3 linked regions of the Alligator mississippiensis genome follow. The protein of the gene in region 3 interacts with the protein of the main gene of each other region in a pairwise test. Links are inferred from orthologs where the notes say so. Each region holds a gene or a part of one and is shown on either strand. Other genes may lie near its edges.

Region 1 (9,916 bases), about 120 Mb from region 3:
CAGGGGAGATCAACAGCAAATAGGCAGAGCCCTTTTCTCTCCAGCATTACCTGGGGTGACAAGGAACAATGGTAATAAGCTGATGGAGAATAGGTTTAGGTTAGAGATCAGAAGGCAATATTTTAGAGTTAGGGTGGCCAAAATCTGGAACCAACTTCCCAGGGAAGTGGTCCTCTCCCCTACCTTGGGCAAATTCAAGAGGAGGTTGGATGATCACCTTTCTGGGGTTTTGTGAAACCAGCATTCATTCCTGCCTGTGGCAGCGGGTCAGGCTAGATGATCTGTTCAGGTCCCTCTTGACCCTAGCTACTACTATGAAACTGAAAATGATGGCCACTACTGGGCACACCCCTCTGGGCTTAACTCAGGCTCTTGTTCCCCAGTCAGGCCTCTCCAGGCCAGCTCTATATATAATCAGTTCCTGCTGTCTCAAAGGTCAGGGAGTTCTGCTGTCCACCTCCAAATTGTGGCAAGGTCCTTAGGAGGGAAACAACCCCATCCAGATTGCCCTCAACTCAGTTCAAGAACAAATCTCCTTGAGAGATCCTGACCTCTCAAGGCAGTCCCCTCTGCATCCTCTCCCACAGTCTTCACAGAAAGAAGGACCCTTCTGGGGTCAGCTTCCTCATGCAGGATCCCTCCCTGCGCTTTACACCTGCCCTGGCCACATCTGATATTTATCTTTCTCCTCCACAGCTGTTTGCTCTGGAGTCCCTGATGGTCATTATGGCATCCAGTGCCGGATGTCTGCTTTCTTCAGCATTCCTTTGATTGCCAAACAGTGCATCTAGGTCTACTCTGTCATCACCTGCTGCCTGGAACTCTTGGGAAGAGAGTTCCACCAGTGTCTTCTCTCTCCTGAAACTCTGGATTCTTCTGGATGGCCCCTCTCCAGAGCTGAAAGTACCTACCCGGGTCCGCTGAGCACCAGTCTGGACGAAGCAGCTACTTTGGAAGTGTTGCCCAGGACCCTGCTTCCTAATGGTGTTCTCTGCTTCAGCTGAGGTGAGTGATAGAAGTGGGTTATCCTTGGGTCTCTCCCTTTCTCTCCTATTTCCTTCTCTACCATCACAATTATATATTACAAGCTGATATAACTACATCTGTCAGGGTTATGAACAGTTGTGATCACTGACCAGGATGCCTGTGTTGACAGATGCCTGTAATACTGGTTATATTGATAAAACTGAACTTTCCCCAGTAGAGTTTCGGAGGTTTATCTACTGTACTAGTAAGGGAGCATCCAGATATTCAGGCACATGTGGTTTGTGGTGCCACAAGCCTCTTTGCGGCACCACAAAGGACACTCCCAGAACATTAAAACGTGTTCTGTGCTGCAAATTTGCAGTGTGAGGGCAAACTTTCTTACTGGGGAACTCCAGTGGCAAAAACAAATTCTGGGGAAAAAAGCAGTGCAGCGCAAGCATCCATAGCGTGTGCTGGAACACACGGAGGGCTGGCCATCTAGAGCAATGTTCTGGCTGCCAGTCAGGCTCCATGTTGTCAGATCTGCACCCTTGCTGCACCAGGACACCAGGTAATACTGCTAGGGCCAGCACAGGTGCTAGCCCTGTCCTCTCCTACCCCTACCTGGGACAATTTGCTGTGTGCTGAAGCACATGTATAGGGGCATGCGATGAAGCACAATGCAGCAGCACAAATTTCTGCCACTGCTACTTGTGCTGCTGGAACCGCGTGCCCCTGCATGTGGGGACATGCCCATAGAGTTCAATTTTGCTGGTATAGTTGGGTCTATGCTAGGATTTGACAAGTTTACTAAACTGGTATTCTTATATTTGTAAAATTCTCTTAGAGTCTTAGGCCAGGTCAAAAGTAAAAAGCTTTGTTGATGTAATCATTTCCATTCAGAAATGTGAATAGACTGCAACCTTTAGCTGACGTAGCTATGCTGGCAAACCCCTTGGCATTGACACAGATGTACTGACAGAAGAGGACTTCTGCTACCTCAGCTTACATTGTTTGGAGAGGTGGTGCAGCTATTATGGCAGAGAAATAACTACAATGGGCTGATGCTTCTGTCTTTGCTAGGGGGCTCTGTCAACAAAGCTACTTTGGCATAAATATAATAGCAAAGGCTTTATAGTGTAGACAAGCTCTTAGATATGCAGTACAATTCCCAGGTGGGAATGGCCTTATTCTGAATATCTACACAAGAGCACTGCGTCAATTATACTTCTTTGTTTCTGCCAACAGAAGTTTTGGGAGCAGGCAACAGTTACCAAATTGCCAGAGTAAGTCCAAATCCAGGCACTTCTAGCAGCTCCTGACAGTAAAATGTGCTTTAATCTACCAAGTAAACCACAAGGGACACTTGGCAGAGTGTTGGAGGTAAAGTTATATATATTTATATTTTTGCAAAAAACAAAAAGACAGTTGTGTTACTGTTGGTGGTGTGCAAAGTGTCCCTGGGATGAGACTGCTGTTCCAGAAGTGGGTACAGGAGCACTTACAAGTATTGTCTTGATTCTGGTAGCAGAAACATTAGTCTCTTTGGACTGCTTGGTTGTCTAACTGCAGACAGAAAGGTGGATGCTGCTGCAAAGGCCCCTGGAATATGTACGCATTGTAAATGTAGGGATGTAAATGCAGCGTAGACATGGTCTGAGATGGAAACTTTCATATCACTGTAGCTTCTGGTTCATGTAGACAAATTTCAATTCTTTCTACAGTACATGAGGCATCCTGAAGCATTCATTCACTTAGGTGACCTTAACATTTTCCCCTTGGAGGAAATGGACAAGAGATGAATCAGTTTAAGAGTAATTTACCCTTTTAATCTGTAATGGGTGATTCTGTGCATGCAATTAATCCAAAGCAATAAACTCTGGAGTAGTTTACGCTGGAGTCAAATAGTCCTGGGTGCAGAGTCTACACATGTGCCTGGGACAGCAGCCATTTGAGCCAGGGTGGAGCCAGGGTGGCACAGTTTATGCCAGAGCTGCAAGGGAATGTCTCTCATTCCCTTTGAATCTCACTGTCACACATTTGCATTTTCACAGAGCTGCATTTTGCATATTAGCTTCTATTCTATCCAGGAGAGCACACACACCAACAAACTCTCCCTATGCCTGAAGAAGGGTATTTGTGCCTGAAAGCTTGCAAAAAACAATTTTTCCAACTATTTAGTTCGTCTAATAAAAGATCTCACATCTATTCAAAAAACCTTGTCTGCCTATGTCTTTAGATCAACATGGCTACAACCAACAACCTAAAGTCCATAGGCTGACTTCTTGAATGATTTCATCAACTTCAGTCCAGTTTTCTTTGCCAACAGACTATGTCTGCAGTAACATAAAAGATAGACTCCATCCCCTTGATACCAGGCTATAGAGAGATTAAATTATACTTTATCAAAGTCCAACAGGAAAAAAAAAGCCTTCAGCTTGACTTTACTTTAACAATATATCCATTCAACATCTTGGAGTTCTCATAGCCTCAAACAAAATCTGCTGCTGTATGTTTTCCAGCAAACAAAAAGTAATCAGCGCAGTTACCCCTAACATCAATTGAACACTTTATTTTGCCTGAAAGATTAATTTAATATTCTTTGCCCTCGCTGTATCCTTTCTACTGAAAGCAACGGCCATTTGGTTTGATTTCTGCTGAGTTCAAGGCCAATGCAGGTGAGCTGCCTTGCATACAAGCTTCCCCTTAGGTAAGGCTTGTTTTCTCCTCTGCAGAGATAAAGGGCAGAAGGCCTGCAGATTTGCTGTGGAAAAAAAGAAGTGGCTTGTATAATGGAGGGATGATGTTTAAGGAAGGAAAAATACCCTGCATTGGTGCTCTGCTGCTTCTCACAAGCATGTTAATTACATTCTTTTATCTCTAAAATGCTGGATTGTAAATCATAGCCATAGACACAAAGCTAAGATTGAGATGCCCTATTCTAAGTAGATTAAAAAAAAGTTACAAGCACCCTTTGCTATTGGGTATTTGATCATCTGCTTTTTTTTTCTCCTTACAGACTCACAGTTTCCCATTTGCATTCAGCTCTATCATTTCATTGATTTTGCTCCCCAGTATGTCTTTCTTATAGATACAGTTGAACCACATGACAATACCTGCTTCCTCTTTTGAAGAACAACTTTTTTATTGGCTACTTGGGGTTGTACAGTCTTAATACTGATTCTCTTTGGTGCAGTTATCTTTTATCATTTTGATGCTCACTTTAAAATAACTAGGAAGCTCAAGTTAATGATCAAGTAATAAGATCCTGGAAAAACTACAGAATCAGTGATAATTAGCATTGTACACCCAGCATTATAATTGGGCCATTACAAATCCTAATGCTACCAGCAAAAGACCAGACATGTAAACAATACCTGTCACTTAATGACCATATGGAGCATTCAGCGCTCCCGGCATTGCTTCAGGTCCTTAACTACTCCAGTTGGTCGCTAAGATCAGTAAAAAGAAACTGCATTTCAAACACCATTGCTCAAATATATAGTGAGTGATTTTAATATTAGAATTTCTCTTAACGTGAAATTTTACTCTAGGGCAGCAAATAAAATCCAAAACAAAATTTTCACGCTGCACTCAGAATGACTGATTCAAGATTCAAGCCCATTACATTTACATAAAGAGGAACAGAATCAAGTAGGGTTGGGTTTTAATTTTCAATCAAGTGACTGTGTTATTCAGACTGTACAATAACAGGCCTACCAAACTTAGAGATCTTTTACAACACTGTTTATTAAACCATCCCTTCTGTAGGTCTTTTTTAGATCTTCATTAAACCTACAGCTCAGGTCAGTGGACTGCGACTGCACAATGCTGGGCTTGTCCACTGGCAAGGCTGGAAGCAGATATATTGGAAATTCTCAGGGGGAAAAGCATAGAGAGACTGTGGAATGAAGAAAATGACACTACTGACATGTCCTGACCCTAAAAAACAGATCTACCCCTCACTTAACACAGACACAGCCTTTTTGGTCACGCAAGTGACATGTGACGACTAGGTTCGTTGGGGGCTCCAGCTCAGACACAAAACAACCAGGTCTTCTGAAGGAATATTCTGTAAGTAATAGCCAGCTGGGCTCCTGGAGAGGCATCTTCCTTCAGGGGCACTCAGGAAGTTGAAAGCCCAGCTGACTGGCAGATACATCCAGCTGGAATGTTCTCTGATGCCTTCCCCCCCCCAGCTTTTCCCACAAAAGGAAGATCTAAGTGGACTTGAATAAAAAAGTTTCTGCTTGTGTGACAATAATGTCCTTCTTTTTCTTCTCTGCCCCCCAACATAAACACCAGGTACAACCAGCTGCCTCCAGTACCAGTCAGCTCGCTCCTCCCCATCCTCTCCTCCCCCTCCATCCCTGCAGGCTCGCCCTGGCAGGCACAGTTACATTCCAGCACCTTCCTCACCTTCCCCCCAAAGTACTATTATTACTATTACTACTCCACCATCCATCTCTCTCTCTCTCTCTCTCTCTGGCGTGTCTCTCCGCACAGCCCACGCACCCCCCAGCGCGCCCAGGAGCATGTAAAGGGGTAGGGGTCAGCAGGCTGTGCCCCCCACACTCCCTGCACCCCGTCCCCGGTATGTGTGTGTATATGTACGTGTGTACATGTATATGTGTGTGTGTATCTCCCTCCACATTCTTCCACATCCCCTCCACAGGCAGCTGCTTGAGTGACACCCCCCAGCGCCAATCCGCTGCCCCCCCAGTTGCGGGGGGCGGGCCCGCGTGGCGCGGCCCGCCCAATGGCTGCACGCGGCCGGAGGGGCGCGGGGGCGGAGCCCGGGGGAAAGGAGGGGACGGCTGTCATCAATGAAGTCATATTCATAATCTCGTCCCCGGCGCGCGGGCGCTGCACTCGGGAGGCTCGCGCACACGGAGCGGGGACCCCGGCGGCGCCGCGCGGCTTCCGGGCCAGGTAAATAGGGGCTCGGCGCGCCCCGCGGCCGGCTCGGCACCGCCTTGCACCCCCCGGCCCGGCCCCCAGCCCCGGCCCCCCTCCGATCTCCCCTCCCCAGGCAGCAGCAGCGGCAGGAGGAGGAAGAAAGTTTGAGCTGCGATATCTTTTTGCAATAAGGACCTGGAAGAAGGACCCCCCTTCCCCTCCCGTCCTCTCCTCTCCTTCCCCCGCCCGGTCCTTTGCTGCCTGCCTCCCCCGGGTTCCTGCCTCGTGAGTCAGGCGATGCAGGAGGCGACAGTGCCTGCAGCTCGGGCTCCGGGGACACAAATGGACAGCGGGAAGCTGCAGCCCGGGGCCGAGGGGGGCCGGCTTGTCTCCTTTCTCCCCGCCCTCACCTTGCAACCCCGGGGGGCTCTGCCGGGGGTGGGAGGGAGGGGGAGGTTGCCTCCTGCTGGGGCTGAAGTTCCCCGCGCCCTGCTCCGGGGCAGCAGGAGGGGCCCGTGCGGAGTGGGCTCCTGCCCATGCCCGGTGTTTGGACAGACGTGCTGGGGAGGGGGGGCGCGGGAGAGGAGCAGCAGCGAGCCGCTGAGCAAAGGAGGCCATGAGCAGGATAATCTCCTGCTTGACTGTCACCAACATGACACGCGCAGGGGAAGGGGGGGCAGGACTTGGGGAGGGGGGTGCTGCAGCCCCTCCTGTTGCCTCCTCCCATCTCGGCCGGGCTGTTGTGAATTGCCGGCGGTGCCCTCCGCCGGGGACTGGAAGGTGTCGCGATTCACTTCCTAAAATAGCTCCTCTCCCTCCAGCCCTGCTCGCTGCTGCTCCCCCCCCGGCCTTGCAGCAGTGGTACCAAACAAGCGCTGGCGAGATGCCCCCCCCGGCTTTCAAAGCCACCGGCCCCCCCCCGGCATTTTATTTCCGGTAGGCACAGAAAATGTCAGTCATTTTGTTTTCTGGGGGGGAAGGGGGTGGCGCTTTTCTCTTCCTGCTGGCACGGATCCGGGGCTGGGGAGCTGGGCGGGAGGTGCCCCAAGTGGGAGGGGGCTTTGGAGGTGGGGGGCAGAAAAAGTTTTTGGGTGGCTGATGAAGTGCAAAGAGAGAGAGAGAGGGAGGGGAAATGGAGGGGGAGTGGGGATTTAAGCCTCTGTTGCTTTTGGTGGCTGGGGCTTTGGAGGGACACAGAGAGAGGTTTTGTGTGTGTGTGTGTGCGCGTGTGTGCGTGCACGGTGTGGAGCAGCATTGACAGAGACTCAGGAAGTCACAGCACAGGTTTAGGGTGGTTTTGAGGGTTGTGTGTGAGAGAGAGGTGGCTGGGAGGCCTGGTGTGTGTGAGAGGGGTTGTGTGTGTATGTCTGTGGGGGGGTTGTGTGTGTGTAGCAGCAGCAGAGAATCAAAGTCACAGCAGAGGTTTGGGGGTGTGTGAGAGGTTTGGGGGTGGTTGGGAGGACTGGTGTGTGTGTGTGTGTGTGTGTGTGTGTGTAGCAGACGCAGAAAATCAGGAAGTCACAGCAGAGGTTTGGGATGGTTTGGAGGGGTTGTGTGCGTGTGCCAGAGGGGGTGGTGTGTGGTGTGTGAGTGAATGTAGCAGCAGCAGCAGCAGAGAATCAGGAAGTCGCAGCAGAGGTTTGGGGTGGTTGTGAGGGTTGTATGTGTGTAAAAGAGGTGGCTGGGAGGGCTGGTGTGTGTGTGCGGGGTTGTGTGTATGTGTGTGTAGCAGCAGAGAATCAGGCAGTCGCAGCAGAGGTTTGGGGTGGCTGTGAGGGTGCGTGTGTGTGTAGCGGCAGCAGAGAATCAGGAAGTCCCAGCAGGCAGAGACAGGCGCTCACACACGCACACAGGCGCGCACAGACATGTTTGATCAGTATGACACGATGACGGAGGGAAGCCGCGCAGCGGAGAGCCGGGCCTAGCTGTGCCGGGGGCCGGGCTGCCCCCTCCCGCCCGACCCTGCTGCCCGCTCCCCCCCGCGCGGGCGGGAGCGCTCCGGGCCGAAGGTCGGGGCCGGGGGAAGGTAAAGCCCCGGAGCGGGCCCGGGGGAGCTCCGCTGCCATGGCGCGGGCTGGAGGTGGAGGTGGGAAGGGGGGCGGGGAGCGGGGCTGGCGCTGCTCGGAGCCCGTCGATCGGCGCTCAAACTTTCCAGAAAGGCAGGGGGAGCTGGGGGACGTGGCCGGGCTCCGGGTGCCTGCACTGCATGTCGCTCGGGGCCGCGGGATCCGTGCGCTCCAGCGGCAAAGTTGAGGCCTATGCATTTCCCCAGCGTCCCGGAAGAGTCACTGGAGGGGGAGCCGGAGGGGGGGGGAGGTGTTGGGAAGGCCAAAAATATATACAAAAAAAAAGCAAAAAAGCTGGCAATTGAATGGAGCCAAGCGGAGGGGGGCGGCGGGAGGGGGGACGGGACTATCTCCCAATCTGGGATCGGAGTAGAGATCTCCAGGGGGCTGAAGTTAGTGTGCCTGCAAGACATATGGCCCTGCCTCCCCCTCCACCACGTTGCATTATCTCCTTGCTGGAGGAGCCTTCTCTGGGGCCCTGGCTCTGTGTGTGTGTGTGTGTGTGTGTGTGTGTGTACATTGTGTGTATACACATGTAGTGATGTGTGTGTATATGTGTGTGTGTAGTGTGGTATGTTGTATGGGTGTGGGGTGTGTGTGGTGTGGTGTGTACGTGTGGTATGTGAGTATACGTGTGTATGTGTATACATGTGTGTATGTGTGTGGTGTGTGTGTATGTATAGCATCTTCATTTTCTTTTCCTCCACAGGGATTGTGATAGTATGAGTATGTGTATGTATGTATCTATAGTGTCTTCATTTTCTTTTCCTCCAACAGGTTTGTGATTGTATGTGTGTGTGCATGTATGTATGTGTGTACATACAGTGTCTTCATTTTCTTCCCCCCAACAGGACTGTGATAGTGTGAGAGCAGCCAGTCCAAACCAGCCAGGGGGTTCCTGACCCAGGAGGGTTTTTTTGCTGCAGTGTGCATGTGCTTTGGAGAAGCATAAAAAAAAAAAAAAAAAAAAAAGTCTTGTGGTTAAATCTAAAGTGTGAAGCTAGAGCTGGCCTTGGAGCTGGTTTTCCTTCCTTGTTCTCCTCTTCAAGTTTCCTTTCTTGTCTTCCCCTTCATGTCTGATAATCAAAAGTCCTGTAAGGAGAGAGTGTCATTCTTTCCCGGTGGTGGCTGTAGGTGGTTGGTGAATAAGTTAGGTAGAAAGTTACAGGCACAAGGTTTGTGTAAAAATGGTAACAACCTATAGCTGGCATTTTAATTTCCTTTCAAAAGCAGCCTGGGTGATGTAGCATTTCCAGCTTTGTTTCCTTTGCGCTTGTGCCTGCATTTTAGATCCTTTTCTTCACTCTTTCTTAGTTCCAGCCGTGGAACCAGGAGTTCTGGACAATGAATGTTAAACCAGAATTCCCTTCCTTTAGTAGTATACCAGCTACATGTTAGGAGGTGGGGCAGCTTTTGCTCTGTGAGTGAATGCATTGTTATGCAAATCAAGGCACACTTTTTCTCTTTGGGGACCTAATTGCCCTATTATTCCCCCTGACTTTTTTCCTTTTGTCCTTTTGTTACTTGAGGGGGGAAAAATGATGTACCAGAAGGACAGGATTAGAGACAGGTTTTTGTGTCCATATGTGATACATCCGTAATATAAAGCAAAGGGTTTATATGGGTAATGAGCATTTTTAAATAAAGTCAAAGTTAGCTGTATCATGTAACACATGTGGACTTGACAGGCGAGGGTAATGCTTTATTAAATACAGTATTTCTCTCATGAGGCATGGCTCGGCTCTAGGACTGACATTACTATGGTGTTTCATAGAACATATGCACCACAAGAGTATGTTCAAAGTAGTCTTTAGATCTTTTCTTTTGTTCATTTCTGAAGTGGTCTGTGAGCATTTTTTGTCAAGTTTGAAAAGTGCTTTGACCAACACCTGAGGCTTGAGATTGACAAGAAAAAAGTGTTCCAGCTAGCATTTCCTATATTTAATATATCCTTGACAGAATTGTAACTTAAATTAAAATCTGCA
Region 2 (10,367 bases), on a different chromosome or scaffold from region 3:
CCAGATGCAAGGCACACTCCATTGCTGTCAATCCATTCTCCCAGTCATCACGGTCTGGTTTCTATGAGGAAAGCACAAGACCTCAACTAATCTTCTAGAGACCAAACACAGGAGCAGTAGGTCAATGAGACAAAGCAATCTTTGTTCTTAGTCATGCTGAAACCCTGATTTGATAGGATCTCAGCTTGAAAGTTACTTTTGAAGTTTAAAAGCCACCTTAGAAGATAGTAAGCTTGAAGAGTTGATAGCGCTTGTATGGAGAAGGCATTTGAGAATCCATGTGCTTCTTAAAAATAGACCACCATATTCCAGCACATACTCCATAGAGAACACTTGGTTACTAGAAATACTCATCTATCCAGGTTTTTGGTTTTTTGGGTTTTGTTTTTTGTGGTTTGTTGTTTTTTTTTTGTGGGGGGGGGGGGAGGAAGGCATTGTTTTGCTTGTTTTTAAGTATTCATTAGTATTAGTATTCATCACCTTTTAACATCAGATAACCATACCAAAAGCTATCCTTTTAGGAAGTGCTGATAGTCCAATGGGAAGGACTAATAAGATATGAACAGCTCTATCAGCTTTACTGAAAGTCAGTGGTTTTATTCTTTCTTTAGGTACTGATAGATTCTCTAAACATAGAAACCTCAACACTTGACATGTTGAAATGTCATCACTTGGACAAGAAACATAGGCTAGAAGAGCAAGACTGAATGAAGTGTTATGAGGGAAGACTCACCAGCACCCTAAGTGTTACAGGGTCTTCAACTAGAAGTCACTGATCTGAGTCAAGAGTAACTCCAGAATGAGTGTAAAAAGGAAGAGATGAGTACCCAGAACCTGGTATGGGGATTGAGCTGGGAACCTGGCTCCCACATTTAATTCAGGAACCAGTGAAGTTCACATGGTTACTGCTGTTCTCAAAAAAACCTAAGAACATATACTCATGAACAGCCCAATTTAAGAGCATGTGGTACAGAAGGGATGGTCTATCTGTAGCATGTATGCCACAAGTGGCATAAACAGCCTGTGTGTGGCACGCAGCATATTGGGGAGGGGCGCTGGCAGCACAGTGGCAGATAAGGCAAGATGCAGAAAGCAGCAGATCAGACAAAGGAATGGGATCAAAATGGAATATGGCAGGTATGTCCCTCACCCTGCCTGTCTAAGAAGGTTGGTTCCCACTGTGGTACAGAAATAGGGGGCAGGGAGAAGGGACTAAGAGGAAATGCATGAAAATAAGATGGATAGAAAACTATGCACCTGCTTTTTATAGCAGTATTCTCTTGTATTTGTCATTTTTGCTTTGACATTAGATACTTCCACAATAAGGAAGAACTTGGAACATTGCAGTGTCAGAATCACAACACATGGCGGCTCAGGTTGATTATCTATACTGGCTGAAGGTCTGTTCAGTACCAGCTCCCAGCTCAGCTACTCCTACGGGATCCTGTGGTGAAGGCACAGCATGCCATTGGAACCACCATCATAATTTCCATGTTTCCATGGTAACCATGGATCTAAAAAGAACATCACATCACTGCAACACAAAGCACAAGCTGGGCTGAGGGAATGCCCCTGTGTAAACCTCACAAAACAGACCAGCAGAAAAATTTAGACAGCTGCTTGCTTAGTGCAACTCCAGCCCTATACACACATCTCATCCTTTCTTTACAACGCACACCAGCATTAGAGTGGCCGTCAGGTCAGTGTTGTTCACCAGTCCCTCACTTACTGTCATGACAGTCTGCACCGACTTAGAAACTCCTCCCCTTCCAGCCTGGGCCTAGCTTTAGAAGACAGAGGTTGGCTGCAGGTCCAATGTACTCTGTGTCCTTGAGGTGCATTTGCAGTGCTGCTCACCTTGATGTCATGCAGGAAGATGCGACCACCCCGCTGATTCTGCAGTTTCATCAGTTTCTCAGCGTGTTCACGCTCTTCGTGCGACTGGTGCAGGAAATACTTGGCAAAGTTTTTCAGAGCCACATCATCACGGTCAAAATAGTAAGACTGAAAACAAAATTAAGATACTAAAGACTTTGGCCAACAAGTCTCACAGCTATAAGGAGCAAATCTGCTACAAACCCAGATATTCTCAGTATTGCCCTAACTATACAGTAGCCAGACCAACGGAGAAGCAGCTGCCATGATGGCAAAAGTTTACTGGTAGGAGAGCTTGTAGTAATTTGCCATTTAACCAACTGACAATGGCTATTAACTGCCCTCAAGATTGGTGGGACAGCTCCCACCAAGAGCTCAGCTATTCTACTACCCAATACCAGATATTAAGTAGCTCACTATGCCTCTTTCTCATGCTGTGACCAAAGTCTAGACATAATCATAGCTTAGATTTCCAAGACTGAAATGGGTATTCTTCACCTGAGCAACACTTCACAAATTATAGAATCATAGAAAACTAGGGTTGGAAGGGACCACGGGAGGTCACATCCAGTCCAACCCCTGCTCAAAGTAGGAGCATCCCCAACTAGATCATCCCAACCAAGGCTTTGTCTAGCTGGGTCTTAAAAACCTCCAAGGATAGAGACTCCACAACCTCTCTGGGTAGTCTGTTGTAGTGCTTTACTGACCTCCCGGTGAGAAAGCTTTTCCTAATATCTAACCCAAATTTCCCTTTATACAACTTGAGACTGTTGCTCCCTGTTCCATCATCTGCCACCACTCAGAACAGTCTAGCTCAGTGGTTTTCAACTCCATGGTCCATGGACACCTGGGGGTTTGTAAACTTGTCTAAGGGATCTACAAAAGATGATTATGATCAATCAAAAGTATACAAATACCCACACTTACAATTCAAAGGGGCCTGTACCACCATTACAGTTTTTAGGGGGTCACAAATGGGGGGGAGGAAAAAAAGAAAGGTTGAGAACTACTGGTTTAGCTTCAACCTCCCTGCAAGTAGTCAGAGGCTACTAAATCCCCTCAGTCTTCTCCAGACTAAAGCCCAGGGTGCCTCAGCCTCTCCCAAAATGATGCTGGAAGACCAACTGCAGCAGGGAGACAGTGCCGTGTTCATGTTCCCCATCTTACTTGCCCACCCAACACCAACACTCAGACTGGCTGTCTAGAGAGCAATGCTACTCCAAACATCCATGAAGAGGGCGATTTTGACAGTTCTGGGGCCAACCTCGCTTTGCTGAGCCTAGCTTCAGAAGGTAAAGTGCGAGGCACGCCCCTGCATGTGCTGGGAGAGGAGAAGATGTCTGCCAACCAAGGCACTACGCACGGCTGCACCGTGGGGAACACGCTTGGCAAGTCAGGAGCCCGGGGGAGGGGCCGCAGTAGCGAATCCCGCTCTGAACAAGCCCGGATGCCTGGAGCTGGCACAAGGATGCACCCCTGCTCTTCCACACTAGGGCTCAGAGCCACCCCCCCGGCCTTGTTACCCACAAGGCACAGCCCAGCTAGAGCACTGCAGTTGGCGCCCACCAGCCCCGGGATGCGCTGCACTAAGCGCAGGGGAGCCGCAGCCCGGGAGCAGCAGGCCTGTGCGCCCGAGGCCCAGCTGCGGGCTCCCCGGGGAGGAGAAGGGAGGGGGGCGGCGCCGCCCGCTATCGCGCGCCAGGTGCGGCCGGGCCCCGCGATAACAGCCCCTGCAGGGCCCCGCGCGCTGGGCGGCACCAACTGCGCCACCGCCACGGTCGGGGCCGCCACCACTCCCGCCCCCCCCCCACTCCGGGCACCAACTTGGTACAGCCCCCCCAGCCTCCGCGGCGCCTACTTGGTACTCCCCCCAGCTCTGAGGTGGTATGTGTCGCCCCAGCCACGGCGCTGAGATGGTATGCCCCCCGCGGAGGGGGTTGGTACGGCCCGAGGGCGAGGACGGGGCGCTTACCATGCTGAGGTACACGTAGGAGGCGTAGAGCTCCAGGTTGATCTGCCGGTTGACGGCGGCCTCGCAGTCCTGGTGGTAGTTCTGCCGCACCTGAGAAGGGGACGTGGCCATGGCGATGGCGGGGCTACGGCTTCGGCGAGGAGGGTCGGAGCGGGCAGAAGCGGCGGCAGGTTCCGTCCAAACACTGTTGAAGCAGGAACCGCCCCCGCTAGGCTGGCGCGACGCTGCGCTTTGCTAGGCTACAAGTACGAAGGGACTGTGCCTTCTGAGCGCAACCCCCCCTGCGGCAGCTGCCTTTATAGACCGCGGCGCGTCACGACGTGGGCGGGGCCCCGGCGCGTGGGTTACGTCGTGGCCACGCCCAGCTCAGCCTTCTGCTCCGGCGAGGGGGGCGCGCTCCCTGGGGCACCGCGGTGTGACTCAGCAGGCGCCCGCACGGCTGCTTGCCCCGCCCCTCCCTGCCTGGGCACGAGGCGGCGGTTGCGCCTGGGGCGCTGCTACCCCTGGGCCACGCGCGCACGCCCACACCCGGGCAGCTGGCCCGGGCCCCGTGCACACCACAAACACGTGCACAGCTGTGCAGCTGGCCCAGGTCCCTTGTACGTCACACACGTGCACATGCGCACAACCATGCCGCTGGACAGGGTCCCTTGCAACATACATGCGCATGCGCAATCAGGTAGCTGGCCTCGGTCCCTTGTACCCCCCCCTCCCGCCACACACACGCACGCACGCACGCACGCACACTCACGCTACGGAAACTTAAAAACATAGACCACCTTCCCAGCAACACACTCCTAGCCACCATGGATGTTACCAGCCTATACACCAACATCCCACACCAGGATGGCATCCATGCCTGCCTTACATATCTACAGGAACAAGATTACAACCCAGAATACAGACCCAAAGATATCGCTGAGCTTATACACTTCACCCTCACACACAACAATTTCACTTTTAATAATCAACACTTCCTCCAGACGATGGGAACAGCTATGGGCATTAAAATGGCCCCACAGTATGCCAACCTTTTTATGAGCCACCTGGAAGAAGACTTCCTCAAGAACTGTACCATCAAACCCTTGCTGTACTTACGATATATCGATGACATCTTCATCATTTGGAGTGAGAACCTGCAAACTCTGATTGAGTTCCACCAGAATGACTACTACACATACACACACACACACACACACCATGCCACTGGCCCATGTCCCTTTTACCCCCCCCAACACATACACATACAAAACCATGCCATTGGCCAGAGTCCCTTGTAACACCCATACGCACATGCGCACAACCATGTCGCTGGCCTGGGTCCCTTGTACCTCCCTCCCAACACACACAACCATGCCACTCGCCAGGGTCCCTTGTAATGCACATACACACAAACATAAGCATGTCGAGTGCCCAAGTCCCTTATACCCCCCCCCCCACAAATATAAACACAACCATGCCACTGTCCCATGCCACTTGTACTCCACGCACATACACAACCATGCCGCCAGCCAGGGTCCCTTGTAATACACACACAACCATACTACTGTCCCGTGCCCCTTGTACCCCCACACACATGCAGATACACATACACAACCATGCCACTGGCATGTAGCGCCCCCCTCCGGCCGCATGATCACCCAGGTTGTGGACACCCCAAGGCAGGTCTCCTCCTATACCAGAAACACTGCCCCTGAGCCTTTGGGGATTTCCGTTCGGCTTTCAATGTGATGTAGGACCTAAGAAACCAGAGTGGAGTCATTCTTACTCAGTCCACTAAAAAGAGCGGCTACGTGTGCACAATTCATGACGTGATCTCACCGAGACTTCACTTTCATGGCAGGGGGACATGTTGTGGCAGAGGGCACATCCGCGCCTGTGGCGCTCCGTGACAAGACATTCTGCAGTGTCTCTCCTGCGGAAGATCACACAGAGCTCTGCAAACGCTTTGAATAAAGAGTTGCCATTGTGGCTTCTGTGGCTCTCCCTGGCTTTATGGAGGGCTGGCTACAAACAGAAATAAGGAAGCATGGGAATGCTTTGTCCTGAGATGGGGTCTGTCAGTGCTCAGATCTGGTTTCCTTCTGTGAAGCAGAGGGGCATTGGTATCGCAACTGAGGTAGTTGGTTTCCAACAACTAAATTGCCTTGCATAAAAAACAATTCAAAAAGCCAGAATGACCCAAAACTTCCAGACTGTAAAATAAAGGCAAATGCAGCCCTTATTTACCTCTATACCACTCCCATGATATCATCAGTCCCAGAGTAGTAAACAACACAATTTTGCCTGAAGGACCTGAAAGAAATTAAGTTAGGGGTTACTGTTGTTCCAAGAGAATTAAAACTAGTTGGCTTTAATTACTACAATATTAAACAACCCAACTGCCTAACAATTAAGGTATTCTAGAAAAAAAAAGTTTCCTCATAATCACAACCCACTTATCAGTTATTTTTCGAGCGGCTTGTTTTGAAGATGAGAGGACTTACACAGGAAATGAGTGTTACATTATTGGGTAACAATGATCGCCTATTCAGGTTTGACATCACAATAGGCAGAGATTTCATGGAGATCACACAACAAGAGTGAACTATTTTAAACTGGAGAGGAACAGTGTGAAAAACCTATTGACCTGGGTGCTATTTACAGGAAAATAAGTAACCATCATATAAAGGGCAAAGTTCCTGGTAAGTCAGCAGGAACAAATGTAATTGTAAAATACTGCAACTCATCCAAGTTGTTACTGGGATTAGCATTAGGGCCTGGAGTTCATTTTATACCTACTTGAAGAAGTGAACAGCAAGTTGTAGCAGGGCAATGATGTAGGAGGATATGACACTAAAGAAGAAGCCTAGTAAGAAACGGAACATATTCCTGGCTTTAATCACTGATCTGCATTACGGTTATATAATGAGAGGTGTCAGCATCCATTGACTGCACAGTTAATGGAGTACATACCTTTTTAATTCAAATTGAATGCAAATAAAGACATGAATGGAGTTAAAATAAGAATAAAAAATTAACATGGCCATTTAAAAATAAAGTAGGAAGTCAAGGATGAAAACTTAGGTAAAAAGGTAGAAAATTTGCACCCTTTGTAAAGATGAATATTTTGTCTCATTCAGTACTACTAAACCCCAAGAATTCAAAAACCATGATTTTCTTTCCTTTTTTCTTTGATAAATAAACATTGTATTCTTTGAATTGTTGCATGGTTACTGAGCTGTTTGCATGCACTTGGGTCACAAACGTAACCATGAAGGCTAGGCGCTTCCTCTTTCAATTGAAAGCTGAGGTTACCACATAAACCTGTGATTTTAGAAGCTAGGACTTCAAGAAATACACCAAATATCACAGGAATCCAGATAAAAGGACAAGAGTTTATTTGATATTGTCAGTGATAGTACACTTTGGTGGTGTGTAGATGTCTTCAGACCCTCCTCTAGAACTGCCCATCAGTTGCTTTGGCAGGTTGCTAGCCATGCTTCCCCACACACCTTACAGTCCCCCAACTTACAAATAAGATAGCTCTTTGACATTCTTTTCTTAGTATTCTTCATGTTCTAGTTTTCCGGTACATTGCTCCTTTTGCAATTACTTCCGACTTACTATGCTTGACTCGAGAAGCTTGCTGGATCCTGGTTATTGTTTCTCTGTCCCTGATAAACCTGGACATTGGTGACTGTGACAGATCATTTCAAAGTGTGTTGTAGTATTCTAACAATACTCAGCCTGCAAAGATTTCATTCTTAATCAAGTTCTGAGCTATTTGAACTGATTCCTGCTAACCCCTTGAGTAGGCAAGAAATGCCATCTCAATCACTGGTAAATTGTGAGTCACTTTATTTACTTTCTGGCACCTCCTAGTGTTTACAACACATTCTTGCCTTGTTATTTGAAGTATTGTGCAACACCTCTGCTTAAAAAACAATTCAATTGTAGTTCACTAATGAAAGGTAATCTTTACATTTGATTCAAATAGTCCTTGGGCTAAGGCTGACTAGGAGTGTCACGCAGTTTCATTCGTCAGGTATCCAAAGTGTAACCGTATTGGTCTGGAGGCAAAAGGAATCAGAACTTGTGGTAGAGGTGATACCTTTTATTAGGCCAACTAGATTTTTGCAAAAAAAAAGAAATCTTTAATTGCTGAAAGCTTGCAATTAAATAATTTTTAAAAGATATCACCTCTACCACGAGTTCTGATTCCATGTAGTTTCATCGGCTCTTTTAGCGAAGGCTATTGCTTGGATTCCCAGATTTGCATTAGCTAAATAAATAAATTGGCTCTTTTGAACTCTGCTTACGCAGGTTGTAACTTGCACACTTACATATTTTACTTTCTATTATAGTGTTCATGCTCAGCTAGAACCAGACATTTCAGGCTCTGCCCTTCCACTTCATATCCATGTGGCCACTGTGGAGTATGCTGTGCATTTCCAACATCAGTGTCTGGTTTTACAATAGTGTCCTTTATCCAGAATTCATCACATGTGACAATTTCATGTTCATAGTTTCAATAAAAGTTCAGCTTGAAGTACTTAAGATTCTTCTTTTGGCTATCCCTTTAGAATTATTCTCCCAAGCTTGTGTAGGGCTGTATTTTTCATTTGGGTTTGCCCAATTTTGTTTTAGAAATGGTGGTGTGTGTCACATTATCTTCACCTTCTTTTCCTTAAAACTTCTGGCTATAATAAGACAGTCCTGCTATAAACCACTTACCTGACCTGTATTTCATATTTCCTGTGTACCCATGCTTCATAATCATTTCCTGAAGTCTTGATGGTGCTTTGTACAATCATTTCCTAGCCCAGGGGTTTTCAACCTGTGGTCCATGGACTCCCAGCAGTCCACAGAGTATATCTAAGTGGTCCACAAAAGATGACTATGATCAATCAAAAGTAAGTGAATACCCACACTTACAATTCTAAGGGGTCCGCACCTCCGTTCAAAATGTCCAAAGGGGTCTGTACCTCCATTCAAAATAGGTTAGGCAAATTAAATGAAAGCAAAGCAAATGAAAAATGGTTGAAAACCACTGGCCAAGACTATTGTTTCCAGGGGTTTAATTTTTTTCTCTTCTAGTTGATTACTGTTCATAGTTATATACATGAAACTGCTCACAATTACAGTTTCCATTTTTTTTTTTTTTCAATCTTGGCATGGTTTTGCAGTGCTTTAGTCAGTGCTCAAAGAAAAGAACACTACAGTCCAAACTTATTCCTTCTAGGCAATCAGTAACAACCCCTTTACTTATAAAAACCTCACAATTGCCCAGCAACCCTGCTAATGTGAAGCCAATGCACCCTAGATTTGTATCCATATCGGCTCTGAGCTGCTGCTGTTGCTACTACTGTTGACTGAATTGTTGCCGAGATAGAACCATTCTTCATACCGCCCATGGGCAGAAATAAATGTATTATCTGCCTACACATGCTCCAGATTGTTGAAGGCAGTTCCTGTTTACCTTTGGACAAGAGCCCATGGAAAAAAATGGAACCAGCTCCCATGTTATATACAGTTCAGCCATTATGCACAGGAGGGAGTGTAATTCAGTGGTTAGATCACAGGCCAGGATATCAGGAGTTTTAGGGACAATAATACTTACAGTCCTCAAATAAGGGCTGGAGGGATTTTGTGTGCGCTACACAGTTTGAAGTCCTCTGATGATTTGTGCTTGAGAATGCAAAGCATTATGATGTTCTAAGACTGAGTGAGATACAGATTTACTGGTATCTGGTACGAAGTTGCTGTTGCCTTTCTATAAACACCTCAGGCTGCTTGTCTCTGCAAGAAGTAAGGAAAACTAGCAAAACACCAACATAGGGATGAAATGGGGTGCCTGGGGCAAAGCAGAACCAGCAACTTCTGCTTGCTACTGGGATCATGATCGGGAACTCATAGCTCCCAGCAGTAACTGCTTCCCCCACCCACAAGTCAGTGCCAAGGGCCATTGCTTCTATTTCCCAAGCCAAGTCCTCCCTGCCTGCCCCTCCCCCAGTTATGTCACTGCTGTAAAAGGACATGCACAAAGTACTTGTGTACAGGTTTGGGATCCTGGAATGTAAGGTTATATAAAAAGGGAGCCCCACCCTTTTGGCTCAGAACAAAATTAAGCAAGTTAAGACAGCAAAAAGTGTGCAAACAGCTGGACAAACAGCTGTATTGTGAATGCATAAGGAAGGGCTTAGGAAAATATGGTTAAAAAGTGTCTATGTATATTAAGTCAGTTTTGTAATGTGATCCAATTTAATTTGATTGTGCCTTTTTTTTTTAATTTTATTTTGTGCTTAGCTTTTCCAAATATGGCTGTGAAGAATTTGGGGGCACGAAAGTTGACTGAAGGAGTAAACTGTAATTAAATATTGGAGAATACTAACAGAAATTGAATGTTGAACTTGTAAACATGAAAACTGGGTCTAAAGTGTAGGCTTATCTAGCAGGGAGCAGAAGTGTTTCACGGGACATATGGCGCAGGTCCAAAACTCAATATGGCCCAACTCCTGCTGTTCCATTGGGATGGATC
Region 3 (10,411 bases):
TGAAAGATCCAAGGACTCTCTGAAACTGCTTCTTCTACTTTTAAGTTGAAGTGAAAGCCTTAATACGACCACAGGCAACTTTACTAGAAACTCTGCAGCTGCTTGTGATTTGTTATTTCCCAGGCATGGAGACCGTTGTTCTCTGGAAGTTAGCATGAAAACAATGGTAAAAAAAGTGTATTTCAACAATGGAAAAATAATCATGACACTTGGTGTAGGGTGTTCCAGTCTGAGTAAGCAAAAGCTGATGAATTCACCAGGTGTTGCTCTGCTCTCATACAATAGATCTAATCATGGAATCCTTCTACAAGAAAAACTCTTATTATGTTTAATGAACAAGGAGTTCAGGACTGAGCTCCAGGAAATGAATTATTGGAAAAGCAACCTGCCCATTTTGACTCTGATACTCATTTAGCATCAAAACAAAAAGAATTTTAAAATGGTGCATGATTATGTACTAGGATAAATGTAATTACTTGCAAATAACTTTTTCAAATGCTCTTCTCTTCAAAAGCATGCTTTAAAAGCACATTAACTGCATTCTGTTGTGGGTTTTTTAGGTGGAGGGTGGTTGGAAGGAGGGGTTGTACATTACATCCAGCAGTTAGCTTTGGATATTTAGATGATGTTCCTATGAGAATATCTAATTATTCTTGTTCCTGTAACCTCATATTTTCTTGTATCTCAAGTTGCTAAGGTACATTTCTCTAGCAAATAGTTTCATAGCATGTCAGACCTGTTAAACCCAGAATAAGAAAATCCATTAAAGAAACATCCACTTTCTCCTTTTTTTCTTCACTCCTTTTTGCATTCTTTTTATTCTCCAGTGTGAGAGAGATCACTGTTCAGGGCCGGTCCATGATACTAGGGCAGAATAGTGGTAATGGAGGTGAAAATAATAAAAAAAGGAAAATGTTTAAAAAATAAGAAATAGGTTTTGAACCAAAAAATGCTGACGTTTTTCCACAAAAATAGATTTTAATTTTCCAAACAATTCTAGTAATTAAAGTGCTGTGAAAGTTTGGACCTTTGTGTAATAACTTATAAATATTACTCTTTGATGTAGTTACTGTTAGGATCCCCTTATGCTTATACTGAATTGATTCAACTGTATGAGTTAGCAAACACTGTGGTAACAACTCAAGAACCATTTACTTGGATGTTGGTGTTAAATACAACTCAAAAGTTTTAAACAGCGTAACTAAAAACTCTTCCTCTCAGCTTTCACTGGCTCTCAAATTGCCATTGAACTATTTCTCCAGTTATTGTAGTTTTCCATGACAGACAAGACTTTAATTTCTATGGTAAAATAAAAGGTGAGGAAAAGTCCAACAGCAGTTGCACAAAATTGATAATGTCTATGTTTGCTCTGAGTAATTAAGTGGTATTATTGCAATCAGTACACTACCTCTCCCTTTCTCTGTCTTGTGTGGTTATTATACGTACTCCTTTTGTCTCCCACATTAATTTAGGTCACAGCTCTACAATTCACTGACCAATGATGGACTCATGCTAGTGTGAATCCAGGGGCAGATCAGTGCAGTGGTGAGGTTATACCCGTCCCCCTTTTGGACCATGCCATGAGAGCAGCAGCTAGAGACTTTTTAAAGTTCCCAAATCAAGAATTATTCCCCCTCCCTTTCCCTCCATACTCAGCAGCATGTCCCTTTCTCTCCCATTCCCAAAGTTTTTTACTCTTTTACTTCCCTTCTGTTAAGCAACTAATTATGCTTACACACCAAGCTCACCAAGAGAGCCATGAAGTGGGCAGCTGTCCTATTAAATAAGTCTTCAGATGACAATATTAATGATTCTGAAAATGATAAATAAAATTAACAAGTGCTTTCCTTAAAGTTCAGTAGAAATAAGGAAATTCTAAACCATCTATAAATATATATAAATTATCTACACCACATCAGCAGGGAGCCCCAAGAAAGGCAGGGGTGAGCTTGCCCCACTCCAATCCACTGATGTGCTACTATGTGTCATGACCCAAGGGTATGATTTTGTGTGTGCTTCGGCACTGCAGAATTATTTCCTGCCACGAGGAGCTTTCTTTGCATGGTGCAATTCTCAGTTGCATAGAGAAAACCCTGGTGCAAAGGAGTTCCCGCCATTCGCATGCAAATTTGTGTCCCACTATTGGCTGTTTCTAAATTATTCCCACATGGCGGCTAGCAATTGGCTTGCTAGCCGTATAAGAGGCTTGAGCGGTTTCCGCCTAAGTTGGAGATCTCCAGGGAGGACCTCATTTAGGAGGACTCCACATCCATCTCGTGGAGAACTCTAAGTGCTGTGGAGCTTAACAAACCCCGCGTGTGCCTTAGAGGAGAATACAGGGGCCTGATCAACCTCTAGCCTCTCCCTGTCGCCGCCTAATCCCTCGACGTACCCTTCCCTGTGCGCTTTTGGTCCACGGAGCCTAGCAAACTTCGTGTGTGTGTATCCAGAGCTCTTTCCGGGTTTAAGAGGCTCAAGTTTTCTACGGGTCTTGTTCGAGCGAGTTTTCTTTTCATTTGTAACTGCAACTTAAGCGAAGTTTTTCCTGCCTGCACCGCGACCATCTACAGTGTAAGTAAAATAATCTTTAATCAACCGCTACACATCCGTGCCTAATTCTAGTCCGCCGTGCCGAATTCCCCAACCCACGTGCCAGGGCTGCTGGCCACAGTCCGCCGCGCGCCCCTGAAAGCCTCGGACTGCTCCCAGCCCGCACACAATGCTCAGAAGGTTTGTCCCCCAGTGCTGTTCCAGACTTATCTTAGTGTCTGCCAGAGACAGAGGACTCAAGAGCGGACAATCAAAACCAGCCCAGAAAAGCCTCACTGGGGAACTTTTGGTCCACATAAGTGGACTCAGATGGGCTGGGGAATATTCAAACTCTACTCGTGATTGCATGACAGCAGCAAAAATAGCAAATGAAGCCCTTTCTATAAAGCTAATGTTGTGCCAACATTTTTTAAAGGATTAAATGGGACAAGCCATTATAAACTTGTCAGCCTGGCTTTGATCCAGACAAAATAATGGCACTGTTAGTATGGAATGCAATTCATAAATAATTAAGGGAGGATAATACAATGGCTGCCAGTCAACCTGAATTTATGGGAAATGGATCCTGTAAAATTCATCGGATATTCTGTTCTGATGAGATTGCAAGTTTAACTGATGACGGTAATAGCATTGATGTAATATGCTCAAGAGTATGTCAAGTGCATTCACTTCTAACTGCACTCCAGTTATACATAAAGTAGTGGTTCTCAACCTTTTTGAAGAGAAGGCACCCCTCACTGGACTCAAAACACCCCTCCATATGGTATTTCCATTTTAAAAGCTAATTTATATAGTGCAGTATTTCCTTCCTTGCAGAGGGACTGGGCAGTAGTGGTGGAGGACTGGCCAGGTAGGGACAAATCTGAACCTGTGCTTATCTGCTTATCTCCCCACACCTCATGGCACCCTTCAAAAGATCTGGGGACACCTCGGGGTACCCTTGTTGAGAATTACTGACAAAGTTAGCTTTATAATAGATAGCTTAGGTAATAGCTAGGACAGCATGACACACTGACTACAAAACTCACCTGAGAAGCTAGCTTGCACAGTGTATCATGCTTTCATGGATTATACTGCTAGTTGTTCATTAACTAGCTAAACTTAATATTAGCTTGGGTTACCTATAGGAGCTGCAGTTACAGTAATGAAAATCTGTAGACTCTAAGTCACTTACATTGTTATGGCCTAACACTTGGGGTGCCTATACACAAGCACGGAGGCTGCTCCAATGCATCGGATGCACTGCGCATTAGAGCGGACTCAATGCTTGGCAATTGCTATGCTCTAGTGGTCTCTTGCAACTCATGTATCAGCATCCCCACACTTAAAAATGGTGGTGGGAGCACTTGAACTATAGCTCATCGAATGAGCTTTAGCTACAGTGGCCCTGCCACTTTTTAAAAGTGGGGATGCTGATACAGGAGACATTGCAGCACCTTAATTTGTGCGGCTCTCAAAGCCACTCTAATGAAAGTGCCATCCCCCACCCTGCACATTAAAAAAAAAAAAAAAAAAAGATCCAAATACAGAACACCAATAACTAGATTCAAAATTGTCTGATATCTCAAAATGCATGTATGCACTTGCAATGGGGAAAACACGTTTGAATGACTGTTTCTAGAGAGGCTCAGCAGTGTTTGGTTTTTGGTTACATCACTTGTATCAATAACCTGTTACATGTCAGAGTTCCTTACATGTAGGAAGCCTCCCTTAGAGAGATTGGATTGGTTTTCCCTTATTGGCACAGAGTTGGTTATAGCCAAGGCTAGGGATTTTGACTGGGGTATGCCAGTGCTCCTGCTGGACTTACAGGGTCCTGGATAGACGGTCTTGCCCCTCTGCTCAGGGTCAGACCAATGGCCATATTTGGGGTCAAGAAGGAATTTGATTCCACGATCAGACTGGTGATGACTGGGTGGGTGGGTTGCCTTCCTCTGAAGGGGGGTGTGGCCCTCTACCAGGGACCTCTTGAGTGTATATTAACCTTTTCCACAAGCAGGGTTTTGGCCACTGTGGTCCCCCTGCTTTGCATGTGGCAGGTGAGCTTGTTATGTCTTGCATTGTCTCAGGGTCAACCGTAGTTTTTCTAAGAGGTTGGAGTATGGGTTTGCATAGGGATGGTCCTGCCTCAGCACTAGCACTAGATGACTTCTGGAGGTTCCTTCCAGCGCTACTGCTCTATGACAAATCTTAATTAGGAAAGGCAACACAACACTTCAAAAAGCAGTGGGTAGTGCAGTATCGAAGAGCAACAGTGATCAAAACAACATGTGTTTCAAGTCTCATTCATGTGTCTAGAAACAAAGGGCATTTATAGACATGTTCTGGGAGGTCCCGGCCCACCCTGCTTCTTTTTAAGCAGCTCCGGCGGCGACTCCTTCTGGTTTCTGGCTGCAACCACCGCAGACCCCCCCAAGAGTCAGAGTGTAATTCAAACCCTAGCAATCCTGAAGGCTGCTGGAGCATGTTAATTTCTGCACTCCAGCAGATTAATCGAGTTTGCTGCCACGCCCTGCATTTACGGCATATCAGAGTAGCCACCTTGCACATGTGTAAATACCCAAAGAGGGCAGGCTGCACTGAGATCTCCGGGGAGCATCCTTGCCAAACAGTACCATAGCAAGGCGGGTGGTTTGAGTGGAGCAACTGTTCTGGGTGCCAAAGTGAAGGGCGGGGCACAGGATGGAGCCGTGAGCGGCTCATTTGGGGGGGCACAGGGATGGGGGAGGGCAGCTCCTGCAGCTGCATGCACTCCTGGACAAGCATGGGGGGTGGCGCCCCCGGATCTGCGTGGTGGGTGAGGGCAGGCTGCTGCTGCGGGCTTGCCCTGGGCACCAAACGTCCTGGCTATGGTACTGTCTCCAAAACAGATGGTATAAAATCCGGGTTGGAAGGGACCTCAGGAGGCCTAGTCCAACCCCCTGCTCAGAACAGGACCGTCCCCAGCTAGATCATCCCAGCCAAAGCTTTATCCATCCTGGGTTTAAAAACCTCCAAGGATGAGGAGCCCACCACCTCTCTAGGAGCCTGCTCCAGCGCTTCTCCGCCCTGCTAGGAAAAAACTGTTTCCTAATATCCAACGTAGAGCTCCCTGGATGCAACCGGAGACCTTGTCCTGTCGTCTGCCAGCACCGAGACCAGCCTGGCCCCATCCACACGGGACACGGGGGCGGCGCTGGGTCTACCCCCGGGGGTGTCCCAGGGGCAGGTCTGCGCGGCTCGGCTGTAGGCGCGGGAGACCCTGAGGCAGAAGCAGGGGACTGATTTCCTCCGCCTTTCCCGGCAGCGCAGCAGCCCTAGCAAGGCGAGGCCGGCCTGCGAGACGGGTGCGAGGAAACAGGGCAGGGGGCAGAGGAGCCACCAGCAGAAGACGACGGGGCGGCACATCGGACACCGACCCGCCAGGCTGCGCGACAGGCGCGGGGCCCTGGACAAGGCGGGAGGGGACAACACCCCTTCCCCCGGGCCCCCCCGCGGGCTTCCCCCAGCGTACGAGACTCCCCACTGCGTCACGGGGCGGCGGACAGCGCATGCGCGCGGCGCCGTGGGCGGGGCCAGCCGTTGAGCCGCAGCTGGTAGCCTCATAGCGACGGAGCCAGGCCCAGCTGACGTCGCTGCTGCAGCAGTTCGCCCCGGGCCGCCCGGACGGTGAGTAGCGGCGCGCGCCGCCCCGCCCCGCCCGGACCTCTGCCCCCGGGCGAGGGGGGGGAGCGGCTCCCCCCTTGCCCTGAGAACGGCTCCCCCGCGGCCGCCGGGGGGCGGGGCGGGGCGGGGCGGGCAGGGGTGCCGCGTCTAGTCTTGGCGGCCCCGGCCGCTGCCTCCGCCTCAACCCCTCCCTGCTGGGCCGGGGGAGGCTGCGGTGTCGGAGCTGCGTGGCGGAGGGGAGGGGGGTGGTCTGGCTGGCTCTCTGGGATCCGGCTTTTTGTTGCCCTCGTCCCGCCCGCGGGCCGCAGCTCTGTGCCGTGGAGCGGTGCGTCACGGGCTGCTTGGGCGGCGGCGGCGCCCCCAGCCCGGCCCGGCAGGAGGCCCGAGATCAGCGCGGCCGCTCCTCAACCAAGAGCCCTGCTCCGCTCCCGGCTGTGTCCCGGGTCGGGCGGGGGCCGCAGCCTCCTACGCTAGCGGCGTAACGTTGTGTGCGCGTGTGTACACGCACACACATTCCCCCCCCCCTTGTATTTATATGTGTATGTACACACAAGATAAATCTCTGTAATCGCAAGGTTTATTTTGTGGGTATGTACTTGTATTTGTATAGATATATACATATAAGTGTGCGTGTGTGTAGGTAGATAGGTATCCAAGCCATAGCTGGTTTGGTTTAGAGGAAAAAGCAATCGGGTCTAAAGGAAAAAACAAGCTGGTGGCGGAGGTGATAATATCTTTTATTAGACCAACAAGATTTGTGCAAAAAAAAATTGTCTTTAATTGCAAGCTTTTGGGCACAAACACCCTTCATCAGGCATCGGAGAAACTTTTATAATCCTCTGTCCGAAGCCTGGTGATGAAGGGTGTTTGTGCCTGAAAGCTTGCAATTAAAGACAATTTTTTTTGCAAAAATCTTGGTCTAGTACAAGATATCACCTCTACCACGAGCCCTGATTGCTGTGTGTATAAACGTGTACACACATGCGTGCACATATCTACACAGACGTGTGTAGATATGTGTATGTGCATGTATAGAAAAAATATGAGAGAGAGCACAAGCTTTCCTGAACCCAAGTTCACTTCATCAGATGCTGTGAAAGAATGCGCAGGAAGTAGAGTGGGAAGAGAGAGAAATCAGAATATAGAAGACAAGAGGGGAGAGGAGGAGGGTGCCCAGTGTTTGAGAGGAGAGCAACAACTTGAGTGGGTTGTGGATGAAGATGCAGTTGCTGATGGCTCCTCACCCATGAATGCCCTAGCGTGAAAATGGTGGGCCAGGCACTGTGGTATCAGTGGTTCCTCCCTTCTGAGGGATTTTCTTCTTGTCTTCTATACCAGTGGAAATTTTGGCTTCAGCTGCAGATAGGTCGGGGCAGGTCAGTTGGAAGTCAGTCAACCTGCTCATCTATTGCAAGGTTTTGCCCAAAAAGAAGGCTTGTCATCTAGCAGGAAGCTGAAGTTCTAAAGATACTTTGTCACTGAGGATTTGTAGGCAAAGTGACAATTCAAACATTCAGGCTTCATATCTTTAATACATATCTCTTTGACAGAACAGGGGAGGCTTGTGAATTTGCTAGTTCTTGGAAGTCTCATTTTTCTAGCCTAACTCTGGGTTTCTTTGCATTGAAGTTTGAACTAGTAATTAATCTTTTAGGTAAAATATCATTTTTGATAGTAGTAGTTGAGCCAGTGGAAATGGAAGTGTACATGTGATTAGCTGTCAGTGTCCTACTTCTGTTCCTCCAGGTAAATTTTTCCCCAAGTAGATCATAGAAAAGGAAAAGGAACAAGAAAAAACTTCTCTAGCAGTCAGTCTCCAGACAAAGGTTATCAGAATTAAGGATCGAGTAATCTATATGAACGAGGAGCTTTCTAAGGGTGCTGGTGATTATTACCATTTTTCTCCTACCTGGTCCTGTTCCTCAACTCCTGTTAATGTTTACTTTTGTTTTAGTTTGTATTACCTATTTTATGCAAAATAAATAAGCATATAAATAATAGACTAAGATGACCTTCTACAAACTTGACCCATATGGCAGGGAAGGATCCCTTTCCTAGAATAATATAATTTTTATCTAGGCTAACTTTTGTCTCTGTGGTTTACTATTAAAAATTGCACCCTTTATATAACTCTTCTTTACATTATTGGAGATGTCAGGTTATTGGAATACCTATTACTACCTAAGATGCAACGAAATTCCTTATTAAAATCAGTTTTCAGTACCCCTTCCCCCCCTTCCCTCGCAACAGACTTACCAGCCTGACCTGGATATGCTCCTGGTCACCTGCGTGCTGTGCTGCAGCTACACGCATGTGTCATTTATCAGCCACATTGGTTCTGCATATCCCCTATGACCTTTTTAAGTACCTCTATGGGTATGATTACCCCTAGTTGACAACCACTGTCTTAATTAGTTTAGATTTATATATTGTTGAAGGTGGATGCATGTTTCTATCGCAGACAACTGATTTGCAAATCTGTTTAAAACGAGCATACGTTTTATAAGTAGCAGGAAGATTTATTTGGAATAGACAGTCCAAATGAAACTGATTTTTACACTTTTACCCCTCCCCACCTGATGAGGGAGAGGCGAGGAGGAGAGGGAATCATTCCAAGGCTGAAAATAGCATATGGAACAACAGGCTTTATTGCTATCCCTAATCCTAATTTCATTTAAAAATTGCTTTCTTTTAAAGAACTACCAATAAATTTGCCCCTAAAATTGTATATTACTCTTATGTAGAGCCCCCTGTTGACTTCAGTGGGGGTTCAGATACATGGGGCTTGGAAAAATTTTGGTTGCCTGGCCTGTTGCCATCCAGTTCCAGGAGAAGGTAGAGTACATTCACTGTACTTTCCATATGATCCCTTGGGGCGATGCATGGTTAAGTGAGACTCCAAGTCTATAATCTTTCTTTTGTATCATGTCATGAGTCAAGGGATAGCTTGTACAAAAGGGACCTAACTGCCTGTATTAGTTTCTCACTGTTGTTCTCAACTATCAAATTCTGGCAGATTTAAGACCACTTGGTATTATTAATATGATTTAAATTGGCATTAATGTATAATAAAAGCCAGTTCTTTGATCAGTGAATTGTTGACTAGTTGAACTTAACCAGCGAAACTTGTTCAAATGCTTTAGTTTAGGGGTGTCAAACATGGGTTCTGTGGACTGGATCTGACCTGTGGGTCTCAGACAGATGCTGCATGCTTCATGTACAGCCAGTACTCATATACAGCCTGGGGTACAATCCTGAATGGCCTTGGAGCCAGTGCACAGGGCTGGTGAAGTGGGGCGTTAAGTACTTTTTTTTTTTTTTTAAACAAACAACAGGCATCAATCAAAGGCTTTATCTTTCTTCTGTATTATGGTTGATTCTTGTAAGTATTTTAGCATCAGCTTTTCTAATAGGTAGAATCTAACAAGCAAACTAAAACTTTATCTGTAAGTGTGCAGTTGCTAAGTTGGATTTTATTTGTTTTCTTTAGTGAAATTACATAAAAATGTCGCTCTATCCTTCCCTGGAAGATTTGAAGGTGGATAAAGTAATTCAGGTATGATGAAATGTATAGACTCTTTAGATCTGTTTTAGTGAACGGTTGAAGTAGTAATAAAATTGTTCCCCTCCCCCTCATATAAAATATGGGGTTAAAACCACTTGTCCATTACTAAATCATCACTTTTCAGCAGTAGAACAGTTGTTTAGCTCCCTGTTCTTTGACATTAAGTAGACCTCCATCCCACAAAACTGTCACGCAACTGTAAAACTCACATATTTCAAAATATGCTTTCCATGTGATCCGAATGATTTGGTTCTGCTTTTTTAACTCCATAACTTATACACTGATATCCAGCTGAAGTTGAGGAATTCTCTGGTCATGTGAGTCTGAAGCTGACTGATAAGGTTAAATCAGAACATTTTGTAAGCCACTGAAAAGAAACTGCCAGGCTTCAGAGAACAAAACTAATCTCATTATTCAACTTTTGGGTCAGTGTCCATGCACATAGTCTCACTTAGAGTGCATGTTATTATTGAAAGGAGTTAATATCTGCCAAATTGCTTACTTCTACCTGAAGTTTTTGATTTCAAAGTAAATTATTGTAAGATGCCAGAACATGTATATGTTCAACATCTGGTCTCTAACCCAAGGGAAACAGATTGGGACATAATTTAAAATCTTAACTATCGTTTGAATCTTCTGTTTTTAATTGTT

Evidence for each region.
Region 1: the proteins of SDCBP (region 3) and SMARCA2 interact in binary tests that used the Homo sapiens proteins (3 or more experiments, as listed by UniProt). The two-hybrid records come from large-scale screens. The link is inferred for Alligator mississippiensis from reciprocal best matches to the Homo sapiens genes SDCBP and SMARCA2.
Region 2: the proteins of SDCBP (region 3) and FTH1 interact in a two-hybrid assay, tested with the Homo sapiens proteins (2 studies listed by BioGRID and IntAct). The two-hybrid records come from large-scale screens. The link is inferred for Alligator mississippiensis from reciprocal best matches to the Homo sapiens genes SDCBP and FTH1.

What each region holds. Positions count from the first base shown.
Region 1 is NC_081826.1:191,851,791-191,861,706, reverse strand, and holds the start of SMARCA2 (probable global transcription activator SNF2L2), read left to right. Parts: upstream 1-5,795; 5' UTR 5,796-5,898; intron 5,899-6,704; exon of another isoform or gene 6,705-6,801; intron 6,802-7,342; exon of another isoform or gene 7,343-7,891; intron 7,892-9,916. UniProt on the Homo sapiens protein: ATPase involved in transcriptional activation and repression of select genes by chromatin remodeling (alteration of DNA-nucleosome topology).
Region 2 is NC_081825.1:179,164,562-179,174,928, forward strand, and holds the start of FTH1 (ferritin heavy chain), read right to left. Parts: upstream 4,122-10,367; 5' UTR 3,959-4,121; coding exon 3,848-3,958; intron 2,005-3,847; coding exon 1,858-2,004; intron 62-1,857; coding exon 1-61. UniProt on the Homo sapiens protein: Stores iron in a soluble, non-toxic, readily available form. Important for iron homeostasis. Has ferroxidase activity. Iron is taken up in the ferrous form and deposited as ferric hydroxides after oxidation. Also plays a role in delivery of iron to cells.
Region 3 is NC_081826.1:69,522,414-69,532,824, reverse strand, and holds the start of SDCBP (syntenin-1), read left to right. Parts: upstream 1-6,089; 5' UTR 6,090-6,198; intron 6,199-9,685; 5' UTR 9,686-9,700; coding exon 9,701-9,751; intron 9,752-10,411. UniProt on the Homo sapiens protein: Multifunctional adapter protein involved in diverse array of functions including trafficking of transmembrane proteins, neuro and immunomodulation, exosome biogenesis, and tumorigenesis.